4 linked regions of the Schizosaccharomyces pombe genome follow. Changing the gene in region 4 together with the main gene of any one other region gives a genetic interaction. Each region holds a gene or a part of one and is shown on either strand. Other genes may lie near its edges.

Region 1 (8,097 bases), on a different chromosome or scaffold from region 4:
GTCGGCGAGACCTTCAATTCTGTTAGAAGAAGAGTTATTATGTTTTACACTTTTCTTTTCCGGAATAAGGTCAGAAGTCATTACGCCTGGAGAGACATTTTTCGTAGTTTTGCTAGATTTTTCATGTGATGAAATATTGTTTGATTGTGATTTATTCCTCGAAGCAGGATTGACTTTATACATTTCTTCATCATATCCTTTTTGCTTATTGTTAGCGATATAGAAACTTGGATGAGAAGATGTGGCAGTATTTTTTTGCCGAATATTATTATTTGGTGTCACATTCTTCTTGTTTTTCATGATCGATGGAGAATTACCAGAATGCGTAGAGTGAAATCTTTTTTGATTGAAGTCACTAATGAATTCTATAGTCTCAGCAGAATCCCCCAGTAAAGAAATCCAATAATCTTTTGCGGCTTCGGAAGAATCGACTGCTAAAGCAGTGCTTGTTATCATTGCGGCACTCTCATCGTCGACTGGCAAAATTTTCAGTACGTTCTCCTTCGTCCATTTTTCCATGTCTAACTTTCTAAAAGAATTCGTAGTTTAACGATTTCGAATAAAGTCTTTGAATAAAGAATCCCCAAGTAAAAAATACTATTGAATTATTTAAATGAGTTCAAGAAGTTCGTACAAATAAAATTTTATATGCTTTATGTAAATTTTCCAAAACAATATCAAGTTGGTAGTGTAATAGTATTCGCGATTCTAGGGTATGCAAATTTGCTACAGGGCAATGGGTGCTGAGAGGTGGATTGCCCAGCTCTAATCACAGCCTACTTGTCCTAAACAACCTAATGGGTGGAACAATAAATGCTGCTATAAAACAAAAATTTGAAAATGAAATATTCGACTTAGCTTGTTTCGGTGAAAATCAAGTGTTACTGGGTTTTTCAAACGGCAGAGTTAGTAGCTATCAATATGATGTCGCACAAATAAGTTTGGTCGAGCAATGGAGTACCAAAAGACATAAAAAAAGCTGCAGAAATATTTCAGTAAATGAATCAGGTACCGAATTCATTTCTGTAGGTTCAGATGGTGTTTTAAAAATCGCCGATACCTCAACGGGGAGAGTGAGTTCAAAATGGATAGTGGATAAGAATAAGGAGATTTCTCCTTATAGTGTGGTTCAATGGATTGAGAATGATATGGTCTTTGCTACAGGTGATGATAATGGTTGTGTTTCTGTTTGGGATAAGCGCACCGAGGGAGGCATTATCCATACCCATAATGATCATATTGACTATATATCTTCTATTAGCCCATTTGAAGAACGATACTTCGTTGCTACTAGTGGTGATGGAGTTTTGTCAGTAATCGATGCTCGTAATTTCAAAAAACCAATATTGAGTGAAGAACAAGACGAAGAAATGACCTGTGGAGCTTTTACACGGGATCAGCATTCAAAAAAGAAATTTGCTGTTGGTACTGCCAGTGGAGTTATAACTTTATTTACAAAGGGTGATTGGGGGGATCATACCGATCGCATTTTATCGCCAATTCGGTCCCATGATTTTTCAATAGAAACAATAACTCGTGCTGATTCTGACAGTCTGTATGTTGGCGGAAGCGACGGATGTATACGTTTGTTACACATTCTTCCAAACAAATACGAAAGAATTATAGGGCAACACTCTTCGCGATCAACCGTAGACGCTGTGGATGTTACTACCGAAGGCAATTTTTTAGTTTCCTGTAGTGGAACCGAACTAGCTTTCTGGCCGGTTGATCAGAAGGAAGGAGATGAGTCATCCTCCTCTGATAATTTAGATAGTGATGAAGATTCCAGCAGCGACTCTGAATTCTCGAGTCCTAAGAAAAAGAAAAAGGTGGGAAATCAAGGGAAAAAGCCTTTAGGAACTGACTTTTTTGACGGTTTATAATTCAAAACAGCTTTGATATCTATAAAATTGCACAATCATTATTAAAATTAATTGTCTGTATATTTAAAAATAAAAGCGATCTTCCTAAATTAACTAAACTAAACATCTTCATTAGAGAAAAGAAACATTGTGCTTCGAAAACTTAAAATGAATTCACTAACACTAACACTAAAACTACAAAACCTTTGAACCCCACAAGTTTGGTAGTGATTAATACCTTACAATTAATAAATAAAAGCCTGACTCAGTCTATGCTTTTTAATTCTTTCAAGTCGAAAAGTGACTCATACCAAGGTGTGTGAGTGGGGGAGGCTTTCGTCGTCTATAATAGTAACGAAACTGTTAGAAGCGAAGCAAATAAATAAAATACTATAGGTTTGGCTCGTACAGAAGAGGTACCAGAAGTGGTTGATGCAGATAACACAGTAGGAGCATAGTTTGAAACGGCACTAGGGTTGTTCACGGTTGTTCCATTCCAGCAGTATTGTTCAAAACAAGAAGAGCATTGACTAGGAGTAGACATATTTTTGCGCTCCAAGGAACGTTGTATCATGGCGCATGCCAAACAGACTGCAAATGAATCGCTGTTGTTTTGAGTAGCCGATAGAGCAGCATTTTCAAGAATGCCACTGGACAAAGTGTCATTCATAGACATGGTAAACGTGGAAATATTGGAATAGTAAACCCAAGGATAATTGGGGAAATAAACAAGAAGAGGAGGTGTATTGTTATCTACGGTATGATTACCTGCAGTAGTGTTTCTGCCGTCACATCCAAAGAATGTTGGATGAGTGTTCAGTCCCAAGGAAATGATTGTGTCCTCATCAGGGATATACGGGAAACCTCGAACATCAACACTTTTATTGGCGTTATAAGTTATAATCCTTTCATATGTAGTAACAATAGAAGAGCCATCAGGCCAACCATTAGAATCATCATAAGTTGCGTCAACAGCAAATATAACGTCAACAAATCTTTGAGGATGTAACAAAGGCCAAATAGGAATGTTCTCATCGTCTTCACCACCATCTACTAAATCAATAGTATCGAATCGCTCAAAAGGGTTTTTGACGGTGGTGTTTGTAGTCGTGAAATTCTGATAAGGATTGGGGTAAGGAGCGATGTCATTTTGATCCTCAGAAAGTTTTTCAAATACTTTATGAATAATATCATAGAGAGTACTATTTGACGTTACTTCCTGACTCCATTCTAACAGAAACGTGTTGAACAATGTAGCTGAAGTACCCATAACAAAACCGGCATTATCATAGTTACGAATGCACTTATGGTCTGGTGGAACACCATTCTTTAAATGGGTACCGACGTATTCCATAGGGAGAAAAGCTTTAATACCATTGTCCCAAGTACCAAACTCGTATGGAGTAAATTCGAATATACTGGTGTTGGCAGGGATAGCTTTTTCCTCTTCCAAACGACTGTCAGATATAATGATGGGATAAGGATAGTCGGCATTTTGGAACCAAGTTTGGTTTCTAATGCTAGAAAATGTGATATTTGGACCACCTTGGGTAGCATCGACAAGCTTACGAGATAAAGCGCGTCCCCAAAGATCGGTCAAAGAAGTATCGAATCCTGCATCTTTCTTTTGATCAATCTCATCATCCAGGTCGTCATAATAAGCAAGATTTTCGACAACATTGTCACCATGAGGAGCAAAGACACTATGTTCCAAATTCCAAACGTTGTCACGTAGATAAGTAATATTGGCAAAGTTATTAACAGCTACGGAACCGACCAGCCATGAACCACCAGAAAGACCAGCGATATACATGGCGGATTGAAGAATTCCAGCAAGTGAAGAACCATTGCCATTTCGAGAATCGAAAGCATTTAAAACACCTCCTCCGTGGACCATAGCGCGGAGTCCACCGCCAGAAAATGCAAGTCCTAAACGAGGGCCATCTGAATCATTAATCACAGAGTTTACATCTACGTCCAAACCAGTGTTGGAAATAAAGGACCTCATTTGTGTATTGATTTTGGGGATACGTTTATCAATGAAACTTTGCTCGCCTGAACTTATTCCGTCAGAAGCAGGTCGTAGCATATAGTCACTAGGACAAGTTACATTATAAGGCGCGTATGATCCAACACTGTCGCGCTTGGAAAGCGAAATCGCCAAAGCCTCTCGTTTTTGCATTAATGAAAGAGGCGTGTCATGCATGCCCGGTCTCATTAAGTCAGATTCCCCAAACTCATACGGATCCGACATTTGCTCGCGACAAGGCGGGTACGCCAAGGCCGGCAGGATCTGGAGCAGAGCGAGTATTCCAAAACAATTAAATAACATTGTCTTTTTTTTTTATAGTTAAACCGTCTTTAGGTCAATAAATTTGGGAAATTATGCCAAAATCTACACACCGCTTTGCTTGAACTCAGAGATTAGAAGGCCGTTACAAAAACGCGCTCAAAACAAACGATGGAATCAACGACTGTCTCTCTAGACCCACAAAAGTTTAGAAAATTGACTATACCCTCAAACAATTTTCTTGTGAACGAAAACAACACAACAACGGAATATTTGTAAACGGATGGTGAAACAAATTAAACCAAAAGCGCCCTACTACGTAAAAATTTTAAAACTCCTTATAGCTGAAATTCACCCGTATTCCAACGCAGCTCTTACTGTATCACTGTATCTGCTTACCGTGCTGTTATTTCTGCTCCGGTATATGAGGATCTGATTATTGTAATTTGTGTCTAAATAAATGACAAGTTAGTATCCAAAGTTATTGATTTTTATTAAAAAGCATAGCGTCTCAATGTTAAGATAAACACTGGATTTTGCTCTTGAATTTGGCGAAACGCTTGACAATTCCATGGTTTATAAAATTTTCTGTTTGCGGTATTGCGGAATCAAATGCGAAACCATTTACCATTTCTGTTCATCGGCAAACGTCGCATCGTAACCGAAAACCTGGGATTCATCTGCTTTATGTTTCATACAAATGACTTGCAGTTTTGCAATTTCATTCAACAAATTCATGAATTCCTATTCTTTTTCTTTTATTCCAATTAAATACAAGCTCATGCCTAGTCTCCAAGCAAATCCCCCCTTACACTTTCTTACCCTAAAAGTTAGTAGTAGCTAAAGTAGCGACTTGTGCGATAATTTTAATATTGGGAAAAGGCAAGTTGAAAGTGATTCAGCCTATATATATATGTATATATATGTAAGCAGAGACACATATGTCTATCTTTGACAGATTTTTTAGATTCCCATTTTGTAGATCAAAAAAGGTCCATTTACATCCCCATGATGTAAATGCCCTTCCGTTCTATGCGAAAAGAGACCGAGACTGTCGGTCCTTTAAATATCGCTTAATATGTAAAGTTGTTGTGTAAATCTATATTTTGAGCAGTCGCTGAGACGCAAGCCTTTACGTTGAATTTGTTGCTCATCTTCTGGTCAACTATGACTGCTTTAAAGTTCACATTGGGATGAATGTTGCTAAGCTATATATCTAAAATCCTTAACGACGGAAACATTTGCAGGTTAAGTATAGGAGAATGTAGCGTTCAACCGGGCTGGTTATTTCAACTGCGCCGCCCTCGGATATTAAGTGTGCCTCTTCGAAACCGGACCTTTCTAAGGAACTTGCAGATTGTCCTTGACTATTATTTAACACACATTACTGGCATCAAATTAGTCGCATTACATTACAACTGGCCGCATTTTACATAATTGATTAAAATATGAATCACAATGTTTATTTATTAACTTCCTTCAATCTTTGGAGTCATGGTGTATATAAAATATCATCAATCTCTCTCAGTAACTCTTTTTTTCCTCATAGTTTCATGTTTGTAAAGTCGCTACATCTAATGACATCACAACATATCTTCAAGTGTCTTTCTTCTTGTAATTATGCTCTTTCAATTCTACATAATATATGTTTAGCCAGTTTTCTTTATTTATCAAAATGTTATTATCATACACACATACTTACTTCTGTTCGATTAGATTTTTGTAAATCGCATGCGCATACCTATATCAAAAGCAAAGCCTCAACTTAAAGTTAACTCGGATCCCATTTCGTTTAGACTTAAAGCATAAAATGCACACTTGCTAAATAATTTTGCAAAACACGTAACTCACAGTCATCGGATTAGAAAGTAAAGCCCGAGGCCGAGCAAAACCCGCGCAACTACTACAATTTTTTTCTCCCATTACTCGTTGTGATGTATTCTATACTGTCTCATCTACATCCCCACTACTTCATTGATTAAATTGCGTACAGTTGATATAATTTGTAAATGATCGTATAATCTGTTTTACGTTAACTAAATTTTTTCATTTCTACATCTCCTTCCTCATCCTAATTAATGAATTATAGGCTGTATGTTAAAGTTCACTATTCCTTGTTCAAGTATAGCAAACCTTTAAAAATCAAATTTTATCATACAAAATATATACATATAAATAATAATTTTTTGAATCAAACAAAACAAAAAAATTACAGTCAACTTATTTATATAGACAAACAACATTCTTATTACAACCAAGAATTAAAAAAATGACTTATTTTCGCAACTATATATAACAGCAACTCTCATAAACAACTAGAACACGTCCAATTTGGAGCCGTCAACAAAACTGAATTACAGCAAACGAAAGCTCACAATAGAAAATGAACAAAAAACATTCCGAAGAGAGGGTAAATTAGAATAAAATACTTTCGGAAGATAACAAAATAGTCTCCCTAATTAGAGCGGAGTGAACGTTCAGTTTAATAATCCGTTAACAAAAACCCATATCGCGTAATTGGATTGATTCACATATATGGCTAGGTTTGATTTATGCTAAGACAGCAGACATTGTATAGATTTTTTTTAAAAACTTTTTTCCAGGCATAAGCATTGCCCTCTATCTTTTGCTTGTGAGCAACAGATATGTCGTATAAATACTGAAGAGAGAAAAGTTTGCATGCGCCTTTCCTTAAATGCCTTCACCAAGACGGCAAGTAGGATTGTAGACAATATCATCATTAGCAGCGCTGTCATCATAAAGACCGCTCCAGCAGTAGTTATAGTAGCATTGTTGGCACTCGGGGCTAGCAGTGATGTTGTTACGCTCCAAAGTACGCTTAACAACGGCACAGGCAAAACATTGACCAAAGTAGGTGTCATTGTCAACGGTAGAGGAAATAAGGCCGTTGGTAAGAAGTTGTTGAATCATGTCTTCAGTGTAGTAGGTGCGATCAGTGGAAATGTTAGTGAAGTAGTTGTAAGGAACGTTGGGAAGATAGATAACCAAAGGAGGAGTGTCACGGGTAACAGTGTGGTTACCAGCAGTGGTGTTACGACCATCACAACCAAAGAAGACAGGGCGATCGTTGAAGTGAAGACTGACAAAGGATTGTTGGCTAGGAACGTAGGGGAAACCCTTAACATTGGTGTTTCCGGCAGCTTGGGCAGCAACGACACGCTCATAAGTTTGGACAAGAGAGTTACCGTTGGGCCAGAGCCATTCACTGTCATCACCATTGTCAACGGCAACGATAACATCGACATCACGACCCTTTTGCAACAAAGGCCACAAAGGAATCTTCTCACCAGTAAGGAAGGTATCAACTAAGTTAAGGGAAGAGCTGGAACCCAAGTTGTTGGCAGCATCAGAATTAGCACTCTCAACACCTTGGAAGGGGTTGGGAATGGAGATGATTTGTTGACCGTTTTCAGAAAAGTTACCTTTCAAGTATTGTTGGATGATACGACCGTTCTTGGTAGAAGAGTCATTGAAGTTACGCATTATCTTGTTGAAGTAAGTAGAAGAAGCACCCATCATGAAACCAAAGTTGTCATAGTTGATAACGCAAGAACCATTGCTGCTAGCACCATTGTTTAAGGTAGTACCCAAGTATTCGGTAGGAATAAAGGAGTTGATTCCATGGTCAAAGGTACCGAAAACGTTGGGGGAAGCTTCAAAGAAAGTAGTGTTAACATTGCTAATATCCTCACCATAGTTTTGGGTAGCAAAGGTAATGATGGGGTAAGGGAAGTTGGCATTGCGGTACCATTCTTGGGAAGTAATACTAGACAAAGAGACATTAGGGAAACCATAAGTAGTGTCACCAAGGGTACGAGAAATCACACGTCCCCAGTAATCGGAAAGACTGATGTTAAAGCCAGCATTGGCCTTTTCGGCAACTTCATTCATAATAGAACTGTAGAAATGAGCGTTGAAAACAAT
Region 2 (7,003 bases), on a different chromosome or scaffold from region 4:
TTCCCTTCAAACTTTAATTCCGAACTGTTTCCGTTTTATTTTCACGATGTCGTACCTTCTATTTGTGCATTTGAATTTGATAATAACATAGCCTTGCATTTTTGGTCAGTCACTGTTCCCCAGTTTGCTCAATCGATGCCTTGTATTGCTAATTCTTTAATGGCTTTTGCGTCTATTAAGAAGCTCGACGTTTTTGGTGCTTACAGTCATTTGACCAGAGCTCTTCGCTGTCCAATGCCTGGTCCCAATTCTTTTGAATACCTGTTGGTTTCTGCATTTTTGACTCTCACTCAGCTCAATCTCCCAGCCTATGATCTCAATTTTTGTAATAATTTTATTAGAAAGTTAAGTTGGTCTTCGTCTACCAAATCAAATTATGTCAGCTTATTGATTGCTATGGTCGTTCGTGAACTAGTTTTTGCAATTCTTCCTCGTGGGTGTATCTGGGGGTTTAATGGAAAGCCTTTATCGGAAGTTTCTGTTTCTCGAAGTCATGCACCTGTTTCGGATTCTTTGTTTACTATTGGATTGGACATTCTCTCTCAACCAACCTTGTCTGATGATTTGCATCGAGAACGAATGGTTGCTTGGCGAGATGAATATCATGTGCACTTGTATTCAGCATCAAGAAGTCCTCTTACTAAAGTTATAGATTGTGTAGGACATGCCGTTACCAAAAACAATAATGACGTTCTTTCTGGCTTACAGCAATTAATGCAAGAAGAATGCACAGATATTGCAGTATTACGCACTTCCTATTTATGCGTATTATCTCTACAAAATGTTTTTGCATCAAACTCTAAAGAATTTAAACTTCGGGCACAAATCGAATCTCATTTCGGAAGATTGATGCTAGAACATTTTATGGATTGCAATGTCTTAAATCGACCAGTACTTTAATTTTAAAATCATTTTGATGCTTTTCAATAAATATTGATATAGAACTGTATAATAGCTAGACAAAATCACGCATCAAACATATAATCTCTCGTTAATAAGATAAACACTTCATTTGTAAGATTCGCATAGTGTAAAAAGAGCCGAAATTTACGAATTACGGTACGACAGTCATACAAATGGTTTAGTCTTTGTTCTAAACATACTATATATTACCTTAGGAAGAAGACTATTGAGCGGTGGCTGTATGGAGATGTGGTTCAGAAGGGTACACAGGTGCGGGACTTCCCATTCTAGTTGCGAGGGAAGACTGTTCTTTTAAGCTGCTCAATTGCTTAAAGCGGAATTTCTCGTAATGATAGTATGAGGTCGTTTCAATTAAATCTTGAAGATGAGTTCGCATCAAAAAGTTACGAAGAAAAACAAACTCGCAGTGGTTTTCATCATCCACATTGACAACCCCCCATCTGTTTTGACGACCACGAATAGGCCTTCCATCTACGATAATGGCTTTTTCGGAACCGACCACGGCAAAAGGAATAAGATTTCGGACGGCAGCATTTAGATTAATTTCCTCCTCATCGGCGTCATCAGAATCATAAGGATACAAATTGATGTCGTGTTTAACAAATTCTTCACGGATTTGCTGCTTAAATGCTGCTCTTTCTTCAAGAGTCAATGAATCAGACTTAGCGATAACAGGCACAACATTTACGACTTCTGTTAAGCGTTTGAGGACAGCAATATCAATAGGGCGCAAAGAATGTCCAGTTGGGCGAATAAAGAATAAACAACAATGTACTCTTGTGTCTTGTAGACGTTTCTCGCGATGTGAATTTAATTCACGACGAAGATAGGAAGAGTGTTGGTCCCTAATGTACTTAATTATAGGCTCCCAGCTATTATAGTTAGAAATTGCTGTGCAGGAATAGAAATTTCCATTTCCACTGATCAAACTTACCATTTATCGTTATTAATTTGATCTCCATATCCAGGAGTGTCGATTAAATTTAATTGTAATTGAACACGGTTCTCGCGAACGACTATGTGGTTAGCAATGTAACCATAATAAATATAAGGATTGCTGACTCATTGAAGCCAGCTCAATGAGTTCAATCAAAGATGAAAACCTAACTATAAAAAAATCAACATACCTTGGCTTGTAACATGGATTTCAGTTGTCTGGCGATAAGGAGCTTGGTAATCCAGACGACCCTTACTGTCCATCAAGTGCGCAGAGAATAAAGTATTAATCAAAGTGCTTTTTCCGCTACCTGACGGTCCTATTTGAAACTGTTAACATCATTATAATTGAAAATCTGTAATAAAAATAATACGTACCAACCACCATTACATTAAATTGAAAACCACGACGAATTAACTTGCGGTTAATTTGCGAAGTGATAGAATCGAACCCTATAAACATTAGTTTTGACTCTTTATCAACATTCTTTTGTTTTCATACCCACATAATTATTTAGGGTAACTGCAGAAGGAACTTCCATTGCAAGTTGCGAATTGAATGAATTTGGAATTTGTTGGTTTTGGCCAAGTCAACATTGTAACGTGAAGCAAGTCAAAACAAACAAAAAGGTCTCGGCAATATTTACGATTTTTTTTTTAAATAATCTAACAGAGAGAAAACAAAATTTAACAATATATTTTATTAATAGAAAAGTGTTTCGATGTTGTATAAGGGCCCGAAAATATATTAAATTAGCAATGTAACCTAAAACTCGAATACGATAAACAAGTAGATTACCAGCAACTGAATGCACTATTGAAGATTAAACTGTTTCTTATAATTACAATCATGGTATATTTTTGCACATTGTATTTCAACAAACCAATATGCTGTATCAAGAAAACCAAAACAACTTTTATAATTAAGTAGATCCTTTTATTTTAATGCTACGAGGTATAACTAGTGAGAGTGAAGAAGAATGCTCCATTTTTTATAAACAAATACATGCAACCGCTTCACAGAGATCAAAGTCCTTAAAAATTTTCAACCAGATTCACAAATAATTAGCGCTAAATTTAAGCGATTATTACCAATCAGTAGCTTAAGAAGCATAAGCGTTTCGTACACCGGCAAGCTTAGACAAGAAAGCAGAACTTTGTTCATCTATTTGAGTAGACTTCATAATTTGAGAGCTAATCAATAGAGAGTCAAGAAGTCGAGGCTCCGCAGGGAGCTTGAAGATTCGCTTCCAATCGTCTAAAGGTAAAGGTTGTAAATTTTCGGCAGCACGATTTGCATTTTCGGCCTTACGCTTAGCAATCCACTGTTGAATTTTAGCTTGCTCTCTTGCGAGTTGACGTTGATGAAATCCAAGATTTCCTTGCTCATAATGAAACTCATCAGTAGACTCCAATAATAACTCAATATTCTTTCTATATCTGGTACCCAAACTAACCTCAAAGTTACTGAACGTTTCAGTCAAGGGTAAGTTGCTTTCACAATCTTCAAGAGCAGCTTCGGCGGTTAGGGTAGAAGCTGGAGTAGGAGGCTCACTAAGAGAGTGGAGCAAACAGGTAGCCAAATGAGAGTTGTGAATAACAATAGGAAGTTCACGGATAACATTGGAAGGAGTCAAGTTGTGGCTATTGAGGGAGGAGGCGGTCCAAGTTTTTTCCTCATGGGCAGCCATAAACTCTGGAGTTAACTGATAAGCACGCATGTACAAAGTTCCATTAGAAGATTGAGACAAATCATAAAGAAAAGCGATACTGTTGGGGTTTGCCTTTTGATAAGCATATTGCGTTTCTACAAAAAAGGGGCTACTTAAGAATGAACTAACATAGGCTCCCAAATACCAACCAACGTGACCAGTAACAGCACCAATGTACTGAAGACGATTAAGCATCGCCTCAGTATGAGCTTGGCGTGCTTTACCGGAAACAGACTTGTTAACAGCAGACTCTTCATTTTCAAGAACAGACGGAGACTCGAAGCTGCTACTGACTTGTAAAACACCATCAATGTCAATACCAACAAGCTGACCTGAACGAAAGTTAGTTAAAAATATTATTTCAAGAGAGAAACTGTGGTTGATAAGAAATTTCACTAAGTAGAGCATTACTGAGCTGACAAATGCATAGCTGCATCTTTGATGCAGAAAAATTGCAAGTTTTATCATTTCGAAAAATAGGGAAAACTTATTCTCCAATGACTACACTTACCAATTGTTCCCATATTAGGAAAAGAATCACGGCAGTGCTTGATGATATTCATTACAAGTAAAGATTCTAATTCCACCCGCTCAATAGGGGGAGACTCCAATTCTGGACTACTGAATTAGTTATTTATATATCTTAGTCATTCTTACACATTCAATGAAGTTGTATCAGACATGTTTTTTAAGTCTGCCAAGTAGTTGGTTGAAGTGCAAATTGCTGTACGAACTTCTAAAGGAGTTAGTGTTCACCAGTTTAATGACAAGTAACAACAAGTAGCAACTTTTTAAAGCCATGGCTGTCGGCGATTACAAGTTATAGAATAGAGGAGCCTACCAGTTTTATTAAACCTTTTCTAACTAGTTAAAAAATTTGTAAATTTTTTTTTTGTTTTCTCGGCCTTAAGCTCTATTTTCATGACTTCTTTTACTAATTTACCGAAATATGATTTTCATGCTTATTGTAATTTAAGAGCAGCTTCACCGCCTTGCAAAGTCTTTTTAATATAGTGTAATTGACACTGCATTATACTTGAAAGTTCAACATTATTCGTTGATTGGAAATGAATGTGACTGCTTTTCCGTTATATTTACTATATATACGGGTCATTATCCTCAACAAAACACTATCGACGATACTCCATAGGATCATTTCTATAGTATACGTCCGGCTTGGGTTTCCTAACCTAGCCACAGAACTCAACACGGATGATGATAGGAGGCACCGTTGCCCTCAGAGTGAGGACTTTTAATTCTTTGAAGGCATGCTTTTCGATTAGGTTTTTTACCTAATTGTTTTGCTGTCTTTCTATGCGATGATCTCTTACATGATATGTTTCCTTTTGGTCGTATTATGTAGGGCAGCTGGTGTTTTCTGACGTGTTTAATTTCATCTATTATATTACAACTGTGGTGTCGTTTGATGACATAGATGTAATTTCTAGATGAAGTTGTGTCATGTTTTAGCGTAGATTTTAGTGAATAAATGAAACGATTTCAAATTCCGTTAGATTGTTTGATTTATGTTTCTTATTAAAGGAGTCAATTGTATGGTATTTGGAGTTAGATGGATAGCTTACTTGGCGGCGTTTTTTATTTAATATTGTCTGCTGTACATTCGTTAGTAGTAAAGTATTACACGAACGTTTCCACTCAATTGGAAAGTCAAGTCCATGCTTTGTGGGAGCAACATTGATCATGTATGTTTATGTATTGCTAGTTTGTTTATAGAATAACGCAGATTACGGAATCACGCTATTTAACGTCAAAACGTCAAGAAAGGTGTCAATTATGCTCGTTGTCATGCCAACGTCATTGTTTGCGTTTTTTCTTTGATGATTACTTTGTTTATTGTTTTCAGTTGAAGATTGTAAAAATATCATTAGCTGAACGTTGCTTTAAAGGTGTCTTACGTGAATATATTAAGGTTACTTTATAACGGCGTTGTATATTCATTTGTTACTTATTTACCGATCCTATGTTGATGCCGTACTTGTTCCTTGTGTAGGAAAGCTGATACCTATGTACGTACGTATTGCTGTTAGGCGGTTCTTTTATCCCACACCTCTTCCTAAGAATAGCTACAAACATTACCAACTTCATATTAATTCATCAATACGATCTTGAAACTTAGAAGTACTTCTAAATTGTCTTTTCTTGTCGATAGGGCTCGTACATTTGAACTGTTCTTGCTGGATCGTTTCAGATCAAAGCTGATCATATTACAAAGAACTCACGCCTTTACTAGCTGACAAGGTAGGATAACGTCGGAATCCATAGAGAATTTGCAACTTATTAAACCTTAGAAGCTTCTTACCCTCTTAATACTATGGACAACGCTAATTGCGTTGGCGGTTGCAAATTTGAAACTCGCAGCTTTCAATATAGAAGGCGTATTCCTTATAGCCTCGGTGCGGATCCACTTCCGCCAGTACATCCTCTATCATTAAAGAATTTAGTTGATATTGATACTGATCTAATTTCTTCTCAACTGTACGAGTTGTATGACTCTATTATACTGAACGACTCGGGTTTAGAACGTCGATATGCATTTGTGCAGAAACTCGAACAAATATTGAAAAAAGAATTCCCCTATAAAAATATCAAAACCTCCCTTTTTGGGTCAACCCAATCTCTTCTTGCCAGCAATGCATCAGACATTGATTTGTGTATCATTACTGATCCGCCTCAATGTGCTCCAACGACCTGCGAGGTGTCAGCTGCCTTTGCTAGGAACGGACTTAAAAAGGTCGTTTGCATTTCAACAGCTAAAGTGCCAATTGTAAAGGTTTGGGACTCAGAATTACAACTATCATGCGATTGCAATATCAATAAAACTATATCTACCTTAAACACGCGTTTGATGCGCTCTTACGTTCTTTGTGATCCCCGAGTTCGGCCCTTGATTGTTATGATTAAATATTGGGCAAAAAGACGATGCTTGAATGACGCTGCCGAGGGCGGTACACTCACTTCTTACACCATAAGCTGTATGGTTATAAACTTTTTACAAAAGCGCGATCCACCGATTCTTCCCAGCTTGCAAATGCTTCCTCATTTACAAGATTCGTCTACTATGACTGACGGGCTGGATGTGTCGTTTTTCGACGATCCAGATCTTGTTCATGGTTTTGGTGACAAAAACGAGGAGTCTCTTGGTATCCTGTTCGTAGAGTTTTTTCGATTTTTTGGTTATTTATTTGATTACGAGCATTTTGTTTTATCCATTAGACACGGTACCTTTCTTTCGAAACGAGCAAAAGGATGGCAATTTCAGCTTAACAATTTTCTGTGTGTTGAAGAGCCTTTCCATACATCTCGAAATCTAGCTAATACTGCAGATGAGATTACCATGAAAGGAATACAATTGGAATTTCGACGTGTTTTCCGTCTTTTAGCGTATAATTGCAATGTCGACGATGCTTGTT
Region 3 (7,953 bases), on a different chromosome or scaffold from region 4:
GACGCACATTACGCATATCTTAAAATGATATTTCAGGATCTTTGTGATAACGAAGCCTAACCACAACCATATAGGATTTGTATTATTTCTTGCTTTATTACATACCATTGCTCAGTTCTGAGTACAATTAACAAACAAGAAAATATTAAATTTATTGAAGTAATAACTTTTTAACGATTTTTTAAGTAAACGACTTCATTTCTCCTTCTTTTCGTGTTCTCCCAGAGTTCAGTCAATTGTTGCTGAAACAAGAGTTTTTAGCTTTATTCCTTGTCAGTATCAAACTTTTCAGCCATTTTTTTATATTGATATTCGATTTTGAAACGAATATCACTTTTTTTCAAAGAGTTTTTTGCCAAACGTGTTTCCAACGCGTTGTTTTTCTCTAGAGTAAACAAGGTACCTTACCCCAACAACACTCTGAGTTTTTTTAAGCTAACGTTTGAAAAGGTTTCGGTAAACTGTATCTAAGGTATTTTTACGAACATAATCGTAAGTAAAAACGGACATAAGTCACGGCTAGAACTTTTGGATGTCAATGGTTAACGATATATATATTGATCAGACATATAACTGCGGAAAATACAGCTTAAGGAAGGCGCTAAAACGAGATTTTTCTGTTAATTTGATTTTGTCGAAATTCATTCTTTCCGTTTCTTAAGTACAATATATCGACAGTCATTTTAAAGATTTGACTTTTGTGAATATGTTTTTAGGTTTGGATCTCTCAACTCAGCAGCTCAAGGGCGTGGTCATTGATGAGTCTTTGAACGTGCATCAAGAGGTTGCCGTCGATTTTGATCGGGATCTAAGTGATTACAACACTATCAAAGGGGTCTACAGGAATGGATATGAGGTTTTTGCTCCAGTATGTATGTGGCTAGACGCCATCGATTTACTGTTTGAGAGACTTAAGGCTTCTGTGGATGTTAGCAAAATACAAGCTATATCTGGTGCCGGTCAGCAACATGCAAGCGTTTTCCTGCTTAAGGGAAGTAAAAAAGCCCTCAATTCGTTGGATGCCAAATCTTCTTTAAAACAACAATTGGAAAGTCTCATTCATCCAACATCTCCAAATTGGCAAGATGCCAGTACTACCAAAGAATGCGAGGAGCTTGAATCTTGCATTGGTGGAGCCAAAGCACTAGCGGACCTTACTGGGTCTAAAGCTCACCTACGCTTTACTGGACCCCAAATCAAGCGTTTTCGTCGTTTGCACCCCGAGACATACGAAAATACCGAACGAATTGCACTTGTCTCTAATTTTCTAGCCTCGGTACTTCTGCAAACCGAGGCACCTTTAGACATCAGTGACGTTTGTGGAATGAATCTCTGGGACATTCAGAATGAGAAATTCGATATTCGCTTGTTGGAAGAAGTTGCTGGTAATTCTAAAGGACCCGACTTGGCTAACAAACTAGGTACGGTTGAGATTAACGGGGCAAAACATCTAGGACCAATTGGGAAGTATTTCGTTAAGAAGTATGGGTTTTCTCCTAACTGTCAAATCATTCCTTTAACTGGAGATAACCCTGCCACTATTTTATCCCTTCCTTTAAGACCGGGAAAAGATGTACTATTATCATTGGGTACTAGTACTACTGCTCTAATGGCTACTCAAAACTATGTGTGTTCTCCAGAGTATCACATGTTTGCTCATCCTGTTACGCAGAACGTAAGTTGAACTTGACTTTCTTTTGGTGAAGTAGTTGTTCAAAACTCATCATTTTCTCTGGTTTTCTAACTAACATGGACTTTAGCATTATATGGTAATGTTATGCTATAAAAACGGTAGCTTAGCGCGGGAACAGGTAAGAAACACAATCAATGAAAAATATAATGTTTCGGACAATACCAGTTGGGACCGCTTTAATGAATCGATTTTGAACCCCAACATTAAAGGTGCTGGTGAAAAGAAACAGCTCGGTCTTTTTTATCCACAAAGGGAGATTTTACCCGCAGTTGGACCGGGTACGTGGAGATTTGCAATCCAAGGCACCGAGTTGTATCAGGTGGATAAAGATGAAGAATCATGGGATTATCCAGATGAGGATGCTTCTGCCATAGTTGAAAGTCAAAATCTTGATATCCGCATGCGGATTACTCCTTTGCTAACTGGTATACCACAACCTGATCGTGTTTATGTTGTAGGAGGAGCTAGTCGTAACGAGGCTATTGTGTTTAAAATTAGCCAGGTTTTGGGATGTGATGTTTATCGGCTAAAACACGGCGGTAGTAATGCCTGTGCTGTTGGCGTAAGTGAACGGAAAATGTTGTTAATTAATAGTTACTGACCATCAATTTAGGGCGCTATCAAGGCTGCATATGCAATGAATGGAAAAGGATTTACCTTTGAAGAATATGTAAACAAATCTTGGGATGAGTCCAAGAAAATTGAACTAATCATGAATAAACCATCCGCCCAAACTTATGAAGAATATGGAAAGCTTTTACCTTTCCTCAAAAAGGCTGAAGACATTGCGATTCAACAGTCAGATATCCGGCATTGAATTGATTAAATGCTTTTCCATTTCGCACTTGATTATGTGATTAGCTATTGATATAACGAGATTATTAATGAAAGCGAAATCCACTTTTTTTTTTAAAAAATATGAATAAACCTTAGGATACAAAATGATAAACGTTTCCTACATGAACATTTTTTTGAGCTATCGTTTTGAGAGCTTTGAATCACGAGTCTAAATTAAGACAAATAAATATGTAACATAAAGTAGTCATACACCATATTATTAAACAAATTTTTGCATACGCTTTTACATATAAGTAACACAATTTAAGCAGGAAAAAGCGTTTAAACATAAACAAATATAAAAAGGCTTGAGTAACAAAGACAATTTTTAAAAACATACACAAGTTATTTATTTACAAAGGAGTGTAGGGTTGCTGTAAGGTTAGTAGATAGAATGCAATATTTTAAGGTACATTTTCTTTTCAAGTAATGAAGTACCATGGACGAAAAGGGAAATTGCAAAAAAATAATTAGAATAGAATAGAAATCGTCAGCTAGAGAAGTGCAAAGTAATAAAGCGGTAGTTGGAAATACATTAATACGAATATGGGATAGAAATATTACACGAAAGAAAAACATAAAAATTAAAAGAGTGCATAGGGAAAATTAGAGTCGTTATTGATCCAAAAATGATTCCCAACGCTCAATAATTTCTTTTTGAGATTCAATTGCAGATTCCAACCACGTTTCAACACTAGCTTTGAGATCATCAACTCTACTGGTTGTGAGAGAACTCAAATCTCGTTTTAACAGAGTTGTTGATTCCGAAAACTCTTTTTCCAGATCAGCAGCTTTTGCTCGATATTTTTCGTATTGTTCTTCCAAGTAAGGGAGTGATTTTTGCTGAGATTTCGCTTGCTTTTTACATTTCTCAAGTTGAGTTTTAGCACGAGAAACAGCTTGAACTGAAGATTGCCATGTCTGCCACAACTTTTGACGTGTAGTAAAGGCATTTTTGGCACTCTCCACGTACCGAATGTACTCCTCCAATGTAGTGCCCAGTGTCAAATTGTCTTGAGCAACCTTACGTTCTTGTACAAATCGAAGCTCTACCTGGAGTTGGGAAAGACCATCAAACTTGGATGATAAGGTGGGCTCTAAATCAACTAAAGATAAATTTCCAACAGCCTCGCCAAAATCATGGATGGCTGAAGCGAACTGTATGCGTTGATCTATGGATAAAAGAAGCGCGTGATAAACCGACTTTAGTTGAGTTTCCAACGAATCAAGTGTATCCTTTGCTTCAATTAAAATTGGATCCTGTTCGGAAAATTTAGAAGATCCAGAGGTATGGAAGGCGGAGGTGAATGAGTCAAGTAAACCAGATGTTGAGGGACCTGAGCGCAAAGGACTTGATGAACTCTCAATGAGAGTAGTACGATGTGTCATTCTAGGGTCAAATGTCTCTGCTTCAAGAAACAACTTAAATGAGTAATCATCACGTAGAACCGGATGGGCAGATATTTTGCGAAGCATTACCTCCAAGGCTGCTCGTCGCTGTTCAATAAATTCATCATCAAAACGGCCTACAACCTGCTTTTCCGGGATGGGAGGAATGATACAACCCGGATGATTATTAGAAAGCAATTGATAAAGAAAAGCAAAATCATTATATCGTCTTTGTACAGTCACATTGCTAACAGAAGGTTGATTGTGTTCCTCTAAACGAGTGGAAACCGAATATACGGTATGCGATTTAGTGATTTCCTTAACGGTATGAGGGTCATGAACTTGGATGTAAAACGGGGTAAGAGATTGAGGTGCCGCTGCCGGGTGCGCCTTCTGATTCTCCGTATCTGTTAATGAGGTTGAACCTTGCTTCTGGGAGGAGGCAGATGAGACAGTGTGTGTAAAATTTGGAGCAGAAGATGAGGCAGCGTCTAAAGTATCTACCGTCTGTTCTGAATTTGGTATAGTGGGATTTTCCGTTGCTCCGATAGGAGAAGGGGAAAAGGAGTTCACTTCTGAGATCCAAGGCTTATTTGCAGAAAAATCTGCATTCAAAGCGGGACTAGATCCTTTTAACGGATTAATTTTTGTATTTAAACCAACTTCCAAACGGTTGTTTTCGGGTGCCATAGAAGGTGCATCAGAAAATTGCAAGGGACCTAAAGGTGCAGAATCCAAAGTTAACGTTTCAAACGGAAGAGATTTCAAATTGACGCTTCGTTTCCTAGGAGATGTATAGATATGAGTTTTTGGTGGAGAAGCTTGAACATTCGGCGACTCTTCTTCCACTCCTTCAGCTGAGGGCTCTTGGTCGGTTTTTGGAGGGTTCAGTGGAGAAACGGAATCTGCGAATGGATTAAATGCATCGTCTTCTTCATATATATTATGCCCAAGCATGATGGTGGCCGGTTGGGTTTTTGGATCTGATCACTGAAATCGTGCCTGAAATGGTGATGCGCAGCCCAACGACGACTAGCGAAAAATAACGATGGTTAAATACGTTTAGCAATGCGGGGTGACTTGCGGTGCAACTAGATAAGTGTCAACAATTCAAGTTTCTAATTCCTTTTAAGGCTACATTAAATTATATTTAGCTTGTAGAAGCAGTATATTGCGTTATACAGTATTGTGAGTGGTGGGTGATAATATATTTATCATTGTAACAGCTAATAACTGGACTGAGAATGATGCTCTGTTCAATCTAGACTTCTAATTTTAACTACTATTTTATATCAATATCAATGGATGTTTTAGTAAACAAACATATAGTCTTCTGCTATTGTTCAACAAATTGAGATTAATTGGTATTCCATGTAGTGTATTTTGATGCGTAACGTAATGTTTAATAGCGATTTTAGTGTAGCTCACTGTCTTGTAAGCTACGCAGTTTGGTATCTGATTTAAGGATACGTAGAACTGCGGTGAGTTTTCCTTGTGATCTATTATATTACAATACACAGGTTGTATAAGTAGCAACTGAGTATAGGTATTGTATTAACTGGGTTATAATGTTACCTATCACTAATATAGCTCATAACTGAACTGAGGAACGAGGTTCAGCAGTAGCTCTATTTATAGTATTCAGATAATATAGATCTTAATAGATTATCATTAAGATCAATCTCCATATCGTATCATACATGGTACGATATATAATTAGAACATGTGACATATAGTGATACGCAACGTAGTGTATTATAGCGTAGTGTAGTATTGCTGACAAGTATGTTAAATAAAGCAGTTGCTTCTAACATCGTTAACTACTTCTCTGCAGATGCAATTCACTCATTGATCCATAAATCGTTCATCTTACTACCAAGTCATGTCCTTGACAGTATGGAATATTGAATCCATCAAAGATGTTGCTGAAATGCTTGGGATTGGCAATCTTGCCGATGAACCAGCAGCAGCTATTGCAATGGATCTCGAATATAGAATTCATCAGGTGGTTCAGGTAGGTTTCGTGAAAGTAGACTATGAGATTTTACTTTCTTTGGAAGAGGCTAAAATAACTAAAAAATTGTTGCTAGTTTTTTACGATGCCTTTCAATTTGCTAGATAGTCTGCTTTATTCTGACATTAAACATAATTCTCTAACAGTATTTGATTTAGGAAGCCACTAAGTTTATGGTTCATTCTAAAAGAACTGTTTTAACTAGCGCAGATATCTCTTCAGCGTTACGGACGTTGAATGTTGAGCCGTTATACGGCTTCAATAATTCTCGTCCATTAGAATTTCATGAAGCCGCTGTAGGTGCAGGCCAAAATTCCCTTTACTACCTTGATGATGAGGAAGTGGATTTTGAAAAAATCATAAACGCTCCTCTCCCTAAAGTCCCTAGAAACATTTCTTACAGTGCACACTGGCTGGCCATCGAAGGTGTGCAGCCAGCCATTCCTCAAAATCCAACTCCCTCAGATCACACAGTTGGAGAATGGGCATCCAAGGGTACTTCAGGGGTTATGCCAGGTGCTTCAACTGCTGCTAAAGAAGCTCGAAACGGTGTCACTTCGATGGACAACGTTGAGATAAAACCGTTGGTGCGACATGTGCTATCCAAAGAGTTACAGCTTTATTTTGAGCGTATTACCAGTGCATTGCTTGATGAAACTAATGTTGAGCTCCGTGATGCTGCCCTATCGAGTTTACGTGACGACCCCGGATTACACCAACTTTTACCATACTTCATAATGTTTTTATCGGATTCTGTAACTCGAAACTTAGGAAATCTTGTGGTTCTTACTACTTTAATGCACATGGCCTGGGCCCTTCTTGATAACCCCAACCTTTTTGTAGAGCCTTACGTCCAACAACTCATGCCATCCATCCTTACTTGTTTGGTCGCGAAGCGCCTTGGCAGTGATCCTAATAATCACGAGCATTATGCACTAAGAGACTTAGCTGCTTTTTTACTCGGGATTGTTTGTGATCGATTTGGTAATGTGTATTATACATTAAAGCCTCGCGTTACTCGCACGGCACTCAAAGCATTTTTGGATAACACCAAGCCATATTCCACTCATTATGGTGCCATCAAAGGCTTAAAAACTATGGGGAAAGAAGCTATTAGAGTCCTCGTCGTTCCCAATATCAAAGTTTACGAAGTCCTAGTTCGGAAAACCTTGGAAAAAGGAAATGAAGAGGAGATTTACGAGGCCAATAAATGTATGGATGCTTTGTACGACGCTTTGCTATTACTGCGGGATGATCAATTACCAAATCAACGAACTCTTCCGCCAAATGCTAGTGGTCTTCTTGAGAAGAACGTTGGCAGTTTAATGGCTGAAAAGATAATGAAGGAAAACGATACCTCATTGCTTCTTGGTCTGCTAGAATAGTCTTCGTTGGGCATAAAATATTTGTTTTTGAACAATTTAATCTATGAATCTCGGACTTTAAAATATTTACCCAATTTTCCACACTACCTAAACCATTATAGGTTCTATAATTAAAATGTTATTGATATTCATGTTACATTAAAACAGGAAGCACCGAATAGCTTTCAAATGAATAAAAATAGAATGATGATAATATTGATATAGTTTATTTCATGTTTTGATTAAAGATGTGAGACTAGCTGACAATGCCGGGTTTTAAATGAAAGAAATACGTAATAGAACAGAAAGGGGAAGGAATGCTTGATTATGCCAAAGAATGCGAATAAAAGTAAACGAATTAAAGCAATTAAACTAGGTGAGGGAATAGCACCATAATAAATAATAATACTTTATCAGATATCGATGGAAAAATAACTGCACTAATCGCTATCGAATTCATCATTGTCCCCCATATTTGTGATTACTAGACGTTTCATTCCTTCTTCAGCACTGTCCTCGTCTGAAGATTCAGAACTGCTGCTTCGTCGATTGACAAGATAAGATTGAATATCATGAGTAGGTGATCCGCTACGAGATTCAAAGCCGTCTGATTGAGTAGTTTCGGCTCTGGAGTCTGCTCTTGAATGTATTGACAT
Region 4 (8,890 bases):
ACGTCCTTCAAGCTGACGTGCATGCTCCAAAAGACGCTGAGCGGCCTCAATTTCGGGAGAACCGCCACCTGCAATCAAAGCACGCTGCTTGACAAGACAGCGGATAACGCAAAGAGCATCGTGAAGAGAGCGTTCTGCCTCTTCTAAAGTCAACAGATTAGCACCTCGGCATAATATGGAGACTGTTTTTCCAGCATTCTTAACACCACTAAACTTTACGATTTTTTCACCAGAAGAAGATGTCTCTTCTACTAAATCCGCATGTCCTAGTTTATCCTCTGCAAAGGATTCAATATCAGCAATAGGTTTGCATCCAGTAGATTTACAAATGAATTCCACCTCATCACGCTCAATGTCTTTAATTACCATAATTTTGAGTTTGGCCAAAAAGTGTAAAGCAAGATCATTAACAGCATCCCGGAGAATTGACTTTTGTATGAGAATAACATTGGCACCTGCCTTTTTTATTTTTTTGCACATATTCAAAAGATACTGACGTTCTTCCTTAAGAATCTTATCCATCTGTCTGTAATCATTGACTACTACTTGATTTTCCATATCGGGTTTGGGAGGAGATAATTGAAATTGAATAAGCGCAATGTTAGCCTTTTCAATCCTTGTGGGACCGCCAGCGCTCTTGACTGCCGTTTGTGTCAAAGCCAATCCGGGAATTAACTCGGTATCGTCAATAATACCACCTAATTTTTTAACAATACGAATATCCTTCAGATCCACATTTGTCGCAACACGAGGGTCAATGACCTTTAATACGGCATCTACAGCAATTGGAGCTAAAAGGTTACTGTATTGTGAAACAATTTTGGAATTTAGAGATGTGGTTGCTGCCCTTAAGAGTGATTCACGATCAGACAGCTCAATGGCCAAAGCATTCTCTTTCATGCAATCAACAGTAAAACCTGCTGCTCTTTGAAAAGATTCCGCGATAACTGTTGGGTGAATTCCCTTTTTTAAAAGCTTCTCAGCGCATGCGAGCATGGATCCTGCTAAGATAACTACACTGGTCGTACCATCACCAGCTTCAACGTCTTGTGCGGCACTTAAGTCGACCAGCATCTTCGCAGCGGGATGAAGGACGGACAAGTGCTTCAAAATAGTTGCACCATCATTTGTTAGAATAACTTCACCTTTTCCTGTTTGAATCATTTTGTCCATTCCCTTCGGTCCCAAACTAGTTCGAATCGCATCGGCGACTGAGCGAGCCGCCATAATATTTGAAAGCCGAACCTCTTGAGGCTTTTCTCGGTCTTGAAATGCCACGGGAACCGTTGCTGCTTTCGACATTGTGTTTGGTGAAGGAGAGCAACTCTACTTCGTTTGCTTTACCTTGGGACTTCTTCGTGCACTGTAAACTACTGTACTCGAAGTTTTGTTATTGTATACAATTTAATGTGTCGTAACGTGTTAATGCTATCTTTGTTTTCGAAATGGATCAAGCACTGGTAGCAGCTTCAATACCGCGGAGTAATTAAGAATACGGTAAAGCGTTTGCTGAAATATTTTAAAAAAACCTTTATTAGAATGTTAAACTAATACTAAACGTTGCACTATTCGTGTTAAGTGTTTAGAGTTCGATTGTGCTCGGATGCAAAATGAACTTGAACACTCCCCACTCTTTTACAAAAGTGATATAACGCTCTAAAAATGAATTCCATAAACGTAAAGGTATCCTCTAATGAATTAGTTTCACGAAATATCCATGTGTATTTTTAACCATCTCTAACGAATAGACATTACGCTGGTCAGCCCTCGTCCTTGGCTTAGGTGCTGGAATGTACGAGCATAGGAGTCATATTCAATGTCAAAAGCAGAAGGAGATTGATGAGAACTATCACCGACAAGAATCCTTGATTGAATCTGCCAAAATTGCATATCTCAATACTAAAAACACTCCTCCTAAAGGTTAGTTTCTTTGCATCTCAACGAGTTTAACGAACTTTGGCGGGTGCAATAGTACTCATTTTTTTTTCGCTTTACTAATACTCAATTTAGAAGACTCTATGTTGCCTAATTTGAAGAAAGATTCAGAAGATTTCGATATGGATGAATTTGTCAAAGAACTTGAAAAAAATGTTTAAATTCATCCTCTTGAACCACGAATGGGTAACCCTTATCACACTACAAATCGATATACTAAACTAGTTTGTTTATTTTTGTGTGCACTTTTGGTGCGATTAGTATTTGCTGATTGTCCGCGTCAACTGATTAATCAATTTAACGTTTTGCTTAAGTTATTACTAAATTCGAATTGTAACATGGTAACTTATCTTACTTTACTCACTTTATTATAATGAAGATGATCCACATGATTTGTTTTTTTGAGAATTAATTCTCTATAAGTATTCCATTAAATAGACTTGTAAGCTTTTTTCATACCATTTTAGTTCACATGGATATCATTATCTATTTAAATATGTATAGTAAACATTCATTCCAAAAAAAAAAAAAGACAGGAAAGAAAAGGAGGTAATATATATGTTATATATATTTTTATGGGTTATTTAACATAACAAGAACAAATATCGTTCTAAAACAGAATGCACAATTATCAAAGGTATCAAAGGTATATTGCCTTCCCCAAATGTTTCAATACATCAAAGTTGCATGAAAAAAAAAGCAAAAGTAAAATAAACGAAAGCGGTTCATAATAGAAACCTTAATCTTTCAAATCTTGGCTACTGCTAGCCATGCTATCCTTACGTCGACGACGCTCTGAAATCACACTTAGTCCAGGGAAAAAGGCACCATGGTCATGACCATCATGAAGAGACAATCTACTGCTTATTGTAGCGTCGTTCGTACGAGGAGAAGCCGACAAAGGGTCGCTAGTACCAGTCATAGCATCATATTTATGGATCAATTCCTCCAAATCATGGTTTGAAGGGTGCTTGGATGGTTGGACATGCTTGTTCACTAACGCAATTTCTTGTGTCAAAGTCAAAGCACGATAAGCCAGGCGAATTATAGGTACATTAGTACGATCAATATCCTGAAAATCAACACCCAACCAACGTTCTTTAAGCTGACGTTCGAAACCGGATTGTAAAACACTGTTTCTAGCCAATTCGCACATATCGACAGCAGAGAGCTTATAAATTTGTGCGGCTACAGCATATTCCTCAATCAGAGGCTCTCGGGTAAATGCAAATTGTAAAGGATCATCAGTGGAAAGACTAACATTAAGACCTCGTTTGAAGTACGTCAAAAATGGATTCTTATCATATGCAAGAAACAGTGCATTGTTTGATAATGGAGACATTGCGATAGGGATCTGATCAAGGTACCAAAGATACTGAAGAAAAGGAACTTTTCGTAATAAAATACCATGGTTAATACCGTGACTTAATAAGAAAGCACTGGCCAAATGATCCGTATCTCCAGCTTCACCACAATGAGGACGAAGGACAAAGGTGTTAAAACCACGTATTTTTCTCCAGCTATTCAAGCTAGTCATGTTGGCATACATGTAATATAACCAATAACTATATGGAGGATTTAAATTAATATCCCAATGTTTCGGATAAGGGAATTTGCGAAAGGTACGGCGTTCAGGTTTACTTTCGTCGTCAACAGAGTCAAACCCGATAACACGTTGCAAAAACACGTGGAGTTTAGGATGTGTACGAGGATCCTTTGTAACTTCGAACAGTGGTTCAAAGACATTTCTGACGACCTCTTCAAAAGTCTCAACAATACCGGACTTCTTATACACATCATACAAACGAGGTACTTGAATAAGCCAACGAACGTTGGGAGAAAAAAGTTCGTTATCAATAATCCAGGCTGCAAGCTTATCCCATTCTTCACGATTCCGTCCATAGATAGAAATACGATATTCAGCCATTTGGTACTTTTGAGTTCTAAGGTCGGTGAACACCTCTTTGGTAAGTTCAGCAAGATATCGACCGTTAATATCATTATCGGTTTTCAGGAAAATAGTACGCAAACGAGATTCACCAATTGGATTATATTTCAAGTTAAATTTGTCAAATCGGTGAAAGGTGTCAGTATGAGCATGCATATCCAACGTGTCTATACTAAGGTCATACGAAGTCAACTTCAACGAATCAAATACTTCTTGTAAAGTCAGGAATTTGCCATCACGCCAGATAACTTTTTCATTAGGGCATTTACGAAGTTTAGCTTTGATAAATCGCAAGAGATGTTTTTGATTCGCAAGAGCAGAATGATGGACGTGAGTATCTACCTTACGTACATTGTAAAAATCACGATGGGGTACTTTTTTGGTATCTGCCAGCTCTTGATACTCGTTTAGCAGCATATACATATTCCAGCGTCCTTCTAGATACTGCAATCTACGGAAGGAAAATGATTTACTAGGACCATCCGATGAAGCCGAAAGAAGGAATTCTAAATCTATATAATAATCGCGGATAGTAGGAATATGAAAAGACGGTGTCCCCGCAATGTATGCGCTGTCATTCTCATAAACTTGAAATATACCTTGATGATCCATGTGATATTCCATTTCATTTTCAATTCCAGGAATTTTGCAATCAGCAAAATTAAACAAGCCCGTATCATCTTCACCTTCTTTGCAATCAGGGTATATAATCCATGAATCATCGTCAATGGGATTGTCAAGCTCACCCTGTAAGCTCACCCTAATATATTTGTGTCGCATGTCCATACATTTATGGATTGACAAATAAATTTCTGCCAATTCATCAGAGAAAAGAGGGTCAGTCGTTTCCATGTTTCCTGGATCGGTTTCAGGGCCACCAACACTAGAAACTACAGCATTGTCTCCCTGCTGCACATGGGGCATATGAATGCTACTTATTTTGCTTTGAAGCGTATCATTCAAAAGCTTTCCACTTCCAGGACCAGCTTTACTATGGTTTACATCATCACTATTCCTTACTGTGCTAGCCGAGACTGATGGTCGTCTTGGGCTTTTAGAGGGCAGTCCATCCCGACCGTTTTGTGTTCCATTCATAGCCAGAAATTTAGCATCTTGCTAGGTTATGGTTAGTTAAACACGTAATATATCGAATTGGGGGGTTTTCACTTAAATACTTACATGTCTTAAAGAGCGCTCATAAGCATAATCAAAATAAGGAGTGTCTTGAGACGAAGGCGCTGCTGCAACTTCTTCGTCTCGATTAGCACCAGGATTCGTTACATATCGTTTTAAAGGAACAGTTTCAGCTGCAACAGCTGGGACTTGATCATCTTCTTGTTCCATGTTCATTTCAGCTCTAAAAATTAGAATAAAAAAGAATCCCAAAAATTGGCCTCTTCAAGAAGAATGCGACGAAAACAACACCTTTTTGAGAGGAGCGCGTGCACTTGCGGGTGAAGAGCCGTTTATATACGGAAGTAAACCACATAGTGAGAGAGGACGTACAGACATTATGTTGTTTAACGAAATAGAGCGATGATTTATTGAGGCAAACAAAATTAAGGGCAATTGAAATGTTTAGAATTCTGGCCAAACTGAATTTGTTTAAATCGAATGATTTTTAATATTTTCATTCAATAAATTAAAGAGAAAATTGACACTCATTTTACGAGTAACTTTTGTTTTTACGGTTTCAGTAGCGATCAATATACATCCTATCTTTTGTATCACTTGCACATTTAAGTAGACAATACAATTTGAAATCGAAATTGTAGCAATAGTACGAACGGTAAAATAACCTATAAACCATTTTACTTAAGTTCGCTCTGAGGAAAAGAGCTTAACAGTTACTAGATTTCGCTTTACACCTCGAGCGTAAAAAAAATAGAAACAAAAATAATTGAAAAAACTCAAGCAAAAGATATGGATATCAATGACATCTTTTCATAGCATCATTATCATTATACCAAACCATGATAGACATGGGATGAGTTCAATTTGACAAGGAAACAGAGAGAACTGAGGCTCCATACAAGTATTTAGCTGCGCTTAATAAGACTGCAGGAAAAGAAGTGAAATTTTCCAAACAAGGAGAAAATCCCATCAATAACACACGTAGGAAGGAACCGTGATACTGTGACCATGAAAAAGGTGCGACAACCAACATGGCGAGTTGGAGAGGGCCAGCAACCAAGCAAGGAGTCAAAAATTTTGTTTAGAACCTTACGTTCCGTACACAACGAAGGAGGATAATTGCTTTTACCTGGAGAGCTAGAATGATCGTAATTCAAAAAGCTGAGATTTCCAAGTTTGATACAAATAACCTGTAAGCCCGTTTCACGCTTGAGAGTGCGCAAGAAAGTTTCAATGGAAGAAGAAAGAATAGATGGAACAGCATAATTGGGAGGCTCATAAGCGGATAATATACCATGAGACAAGCCAATGATTCTGGCCTTTTGACTTTTCAAAAGAGGAATCATTCGAGAAACGTTAGAGAAAGATTCACTGAGTTGTTGAAAAGCACTGATCCAAGCATCTTTTCCAATGTTCTCAATTGGAGTGTACAAAGAATCTCCTGTGGGAACGAGAATAAGACCACGTAGGCGCAAAGCATACTCCTTAGGGCCAGATTGATTGGAAAAAGACAAAAGGAAGCGTTCAACAGCCTCATTATGAGTAACAATCAAAGATTGAATGTAAGGGCGTTGTTGGAGAGAAACAGTAGCTGCTTCAGATGCATCGCGAACAAGAACAACGACGATAAAACCACGACGATCCAAATCGTGAGCAATTACTGAGGCGAGAGGGTTCCACGCAGATAAGACAACAACTTGGGTTTTTTGGTGGTTGGGTGCACGTGGAGCACGACGCTTGCGTACATAATCATAGCGTTTGTAATAGGATAATCCAGCAAGGAACAAAGCGGCCGATCCTAAGCCAACTGATACTCTATTTTGATAAAGAAATTCTCCCAATCTTCCCTTGGCACTGTTTGTAGTATGAACTGTAACAGGTTGAGGGTTACTAGTTTTTTCATGAGCATAGTCAATGATTCGCTTGCCGTAATCCTTAACATTAGAGACTAAATCGGCAGCCCAGCGTTCAGGATTCATTTTTTAATGTTATTCTACCTTTTTGATATGATAATTCGTTTTCGTAGCAATTGGATTAGATTTCCAGGCAAAAAAACACTTCAATTTTCTCCCTGATATAATGTTTGAAGAAGGAAACAATGCAGGATGAAATTGAAAAATATTTAGCAATTTCAACAATAAATACTATCACTTGAGGAATTCACAAGTAATACTTCAAAAAGCTAAAGAATTCTAAAACTTGGAATTAATGAAGTGGTGAGTGGTGGTTGAGAACAGGTCGCGAATATTGGAAAACACCATGATGTCGTGCTAACTTGATCCTAAATCGCAATTCTATTTTATGGCAGTAAAGATGATTCAAATCGAATGCAAGTTTTAATATTGAAAGTTTATCGAAGTTAATCTCACATCAGGCTAATAGGAAGCTATGTTGCTAAAAACATATTGTAAGTAAATGATAGTATCTGTTCATAAAAGGTTTGATGTTTTGCGGGAATTGAGCGATGGCATTATAAAAAAATGAGGATTAATGGCTTTAGAGATTGACTAATGGGAAGGATAAAGGATACCAAGGATATGAGAGAACGGATGGATGATTAGTATTTATTATGAAATTCGCGTTTTCATTGTAGATGAGAAGTCCGATTGAAGTATTGACCTTACTTCTCTAAAGCATGTACATATGAAAGGATCATTGTGATCTGTTTGCTCAAAAAACTTTAAGAATTGTATTAAAACCTTGCTACTCTTTAAAAGTTTTTATGTGTACCATAGTTCTTGTAATTGTCTCAACAATTGTAAAAAAAAGAACAGCCTTTCATTTGTCGCTCAGTCCTTCTTTAAATTGAAATGTTATTCCTTACATTACCTAACATTTTTAAAGTGTTAAAATAATCTAATATTCAATTTGCTACATTGCCTTCAAATCTTATGATATAAAACGTTGGCCAAGAATCAATTTGGCCTCAGCAAATATAGCAGCCGAACTTATACAAACAAAATAATATACTATGGTTTCTTAATCCTGACTTAAGGATGGATTTTCTTAAAATTTAAGGATTTCAGATGCAATCTTTAAAATTCCACTTTTGTTGACGACTAACGGTTCAAGCCTACATTCTACCAATGAATTTCTTCTTAACCAAAATTTGCACTCTTCAACTAGCTAATGCTTCTTTCACCATTCGAAAACAATACTCATATTGTTTTAATGATCTTGTGTCGGTTATCTCTGTCACATTTTAGAAAGCGTTTTCAGAAAGTGAACCTTTTGTTTACACATTTTTGAATGTACTCGTGCATTTACAGTTCTCCGTCGACTCCAAGTTATTTATACCTAAGTATTTGTGCTTGAAATTCTATTTAGGTAGCATCATTCTACACTTTGACATCTTTGCAATAGTGTTTTATTGCCATCTACATTTAATGAATAAGCTACTCCAACTACCTTACTAAGAACACAAACCCAGACCTCGTAACGTAACCACGTTGCTTTGTCCTAGTCGGTTTAACGTGTTTCGCTAACATGCTGACAAATTTTTACATAAGATTTTAAGTATCGATTCATCTTTGATAATGATGTCATATTTGTAAATTATTATATACATACCGGGATAAGATAGGTTGTGGGGCAGATCATTAGTACAACAGGAAACGATATCAGATCAAGGAGTAAATATACTCGATATCAATATCCACTTTTCCATTCTTATTAACTTGCCTTTTTTTATAATTTTCTGTTCTATTTATAAAAATTTCTGTTCACTTTATCTTTTTTATATTCTTTCTTTCATTCATTTTTAACCATCATGACTTCGATTCACACTGGCTCAAATAACAACATTGTTGAGCTTGATATGTCTGAGTTAATTCGTCCTATACCTCCTGTTTTAGATATGAACAAAGTCAATAG

The links.
Region 1: mutations in ada1 (region 4) and plb3 together harm fitness more than expected from each alone (negative genetic interaction), as found in Schizosaccharomyces pombe (one large-scale study listed by BioGRID).
Region 2: mutations in ada1 (region 4) and tif308 together harm fitness more than expected from each alone (negative genetic interaction), as found in Schizosaccharomyces pombe (one large-scale study listed by BioGRID).
Region 3: mutations in ada1 (region 4) and vps5 together harm fitness more than expected from each alone (negative genetic interaction), as found in Schizosaccharomyces pombe (one large-scale study listed by BioGRID).

The regions. Positions count from the first base shown.
Region 1 is NC_003424.3:1,067,934-1,076,030, forward strand, and holds plb3 (lysophospholipase Plb3), read right to left. Parts: upstream 4,430-8,097; 5' UTR 4,195-4,429; coding exon 2,206-4,194; 3' UTR 1,990-2,205; downstream 1-1,989. Other genes in the region: transcription coactivator Rqt4, read right to left, coding at 1-519; wdr55 (WD repeat-containing protein), read left to right, coding at 798-1,883; SPOM_SPAC1A6.11 (uncharacterized protein), read left to right, coding at 5,601-5,921; plb1 (lysophospholipase 1), read right to left, coding at 6,844-8,097.
Region 2 is NC_003424.3:985,649-992,651, reverse strand, and holds tif308 (translation initiation factor eIF3h (p40)), read right to left. Parts: upstream 4,292-7,003; 5' UTR 4,256-4,291; coding exon 4,230-4,255; intron 4,191-4,229; coding exon 4,084-4,190; intron 3,993-4,083; exon of another isoform or gene 3,905-3,992; coding exon 2,964-3,904; 3' UTR 2,786-2,963; downstream 1-2,785. Other genes in the region: DNA-binding transcription factor Moc3, read left to right, coding at 1-900; mitotic and meiotic (sporulation) septin Spn2, read right to left, coding at 1,127-1,796, 1,859-1,940, 2,052-2,180, 2,239-2,313, 2,363-2,402; cytoplasmic poly(A) polymerase Cid13, read left to right, coding at 5,905-7,003.
Region 3 is NC_003421.2:699,530-707,482, reverse strand, and holds vps5 (retromer complex subunit Vps5), read right to left. Parts: upstream 4,887-7,953; 5' UTR 4,877-4,886; coding exon 3,146-4,876; 3' UTR 2,665-3,145; downstream 1-2,664. Other genes in the region: xks1 (xylulose kinase), read left to right, coding at 707-1,675, 1,761-2,255, 2,307-2,510; TATA-binding protein-associated factor TAF6, read left to right, coding at 5,802-5,933, 6,092-7,318; protein mug123, read right to left, coding at 7,738-7,953. UniProt on the Schizosaccharomyces pombe protein: Required for efficient sporulation target of PtdIns(3)P in vesicle transport required for onset of the forespore membrane formation. Plays a role in vesicular protein sorting.
Region 4 is NC_003423.3:376,733-385,622, reverse strand, and holds ada1 (adenosine deaminase Ada1), read right to left. Parts: upstream 5,324-8,890; 5' UTR 5,234-5,323; coding exon 5,063-5,233; exon of another isoform or gene 5,000-5,062; coding exon 2,675-4,999; 3' UTR 2,323-2,674; downstream 1-2,322. Other genes in the region: chaperonin-containing T-complex delta subunit Cct4, read right to left, coding at 1-1,302; tim11 (F0-ATPase subunit E), read left to right, coding at 1,663-1,683, 1,749-1,920, 2,011-2,096; SPOM_SPBC106.03 (steroid dehydrogenase), read right to left, coding at 5,923-6,996; srx1 (sulfiredoxin), read left to right, coding at 8,787-8,890. UniProt on the Schizosaccharomyces pombe protein: AMP deaminase plays a critical role in energy metabolism.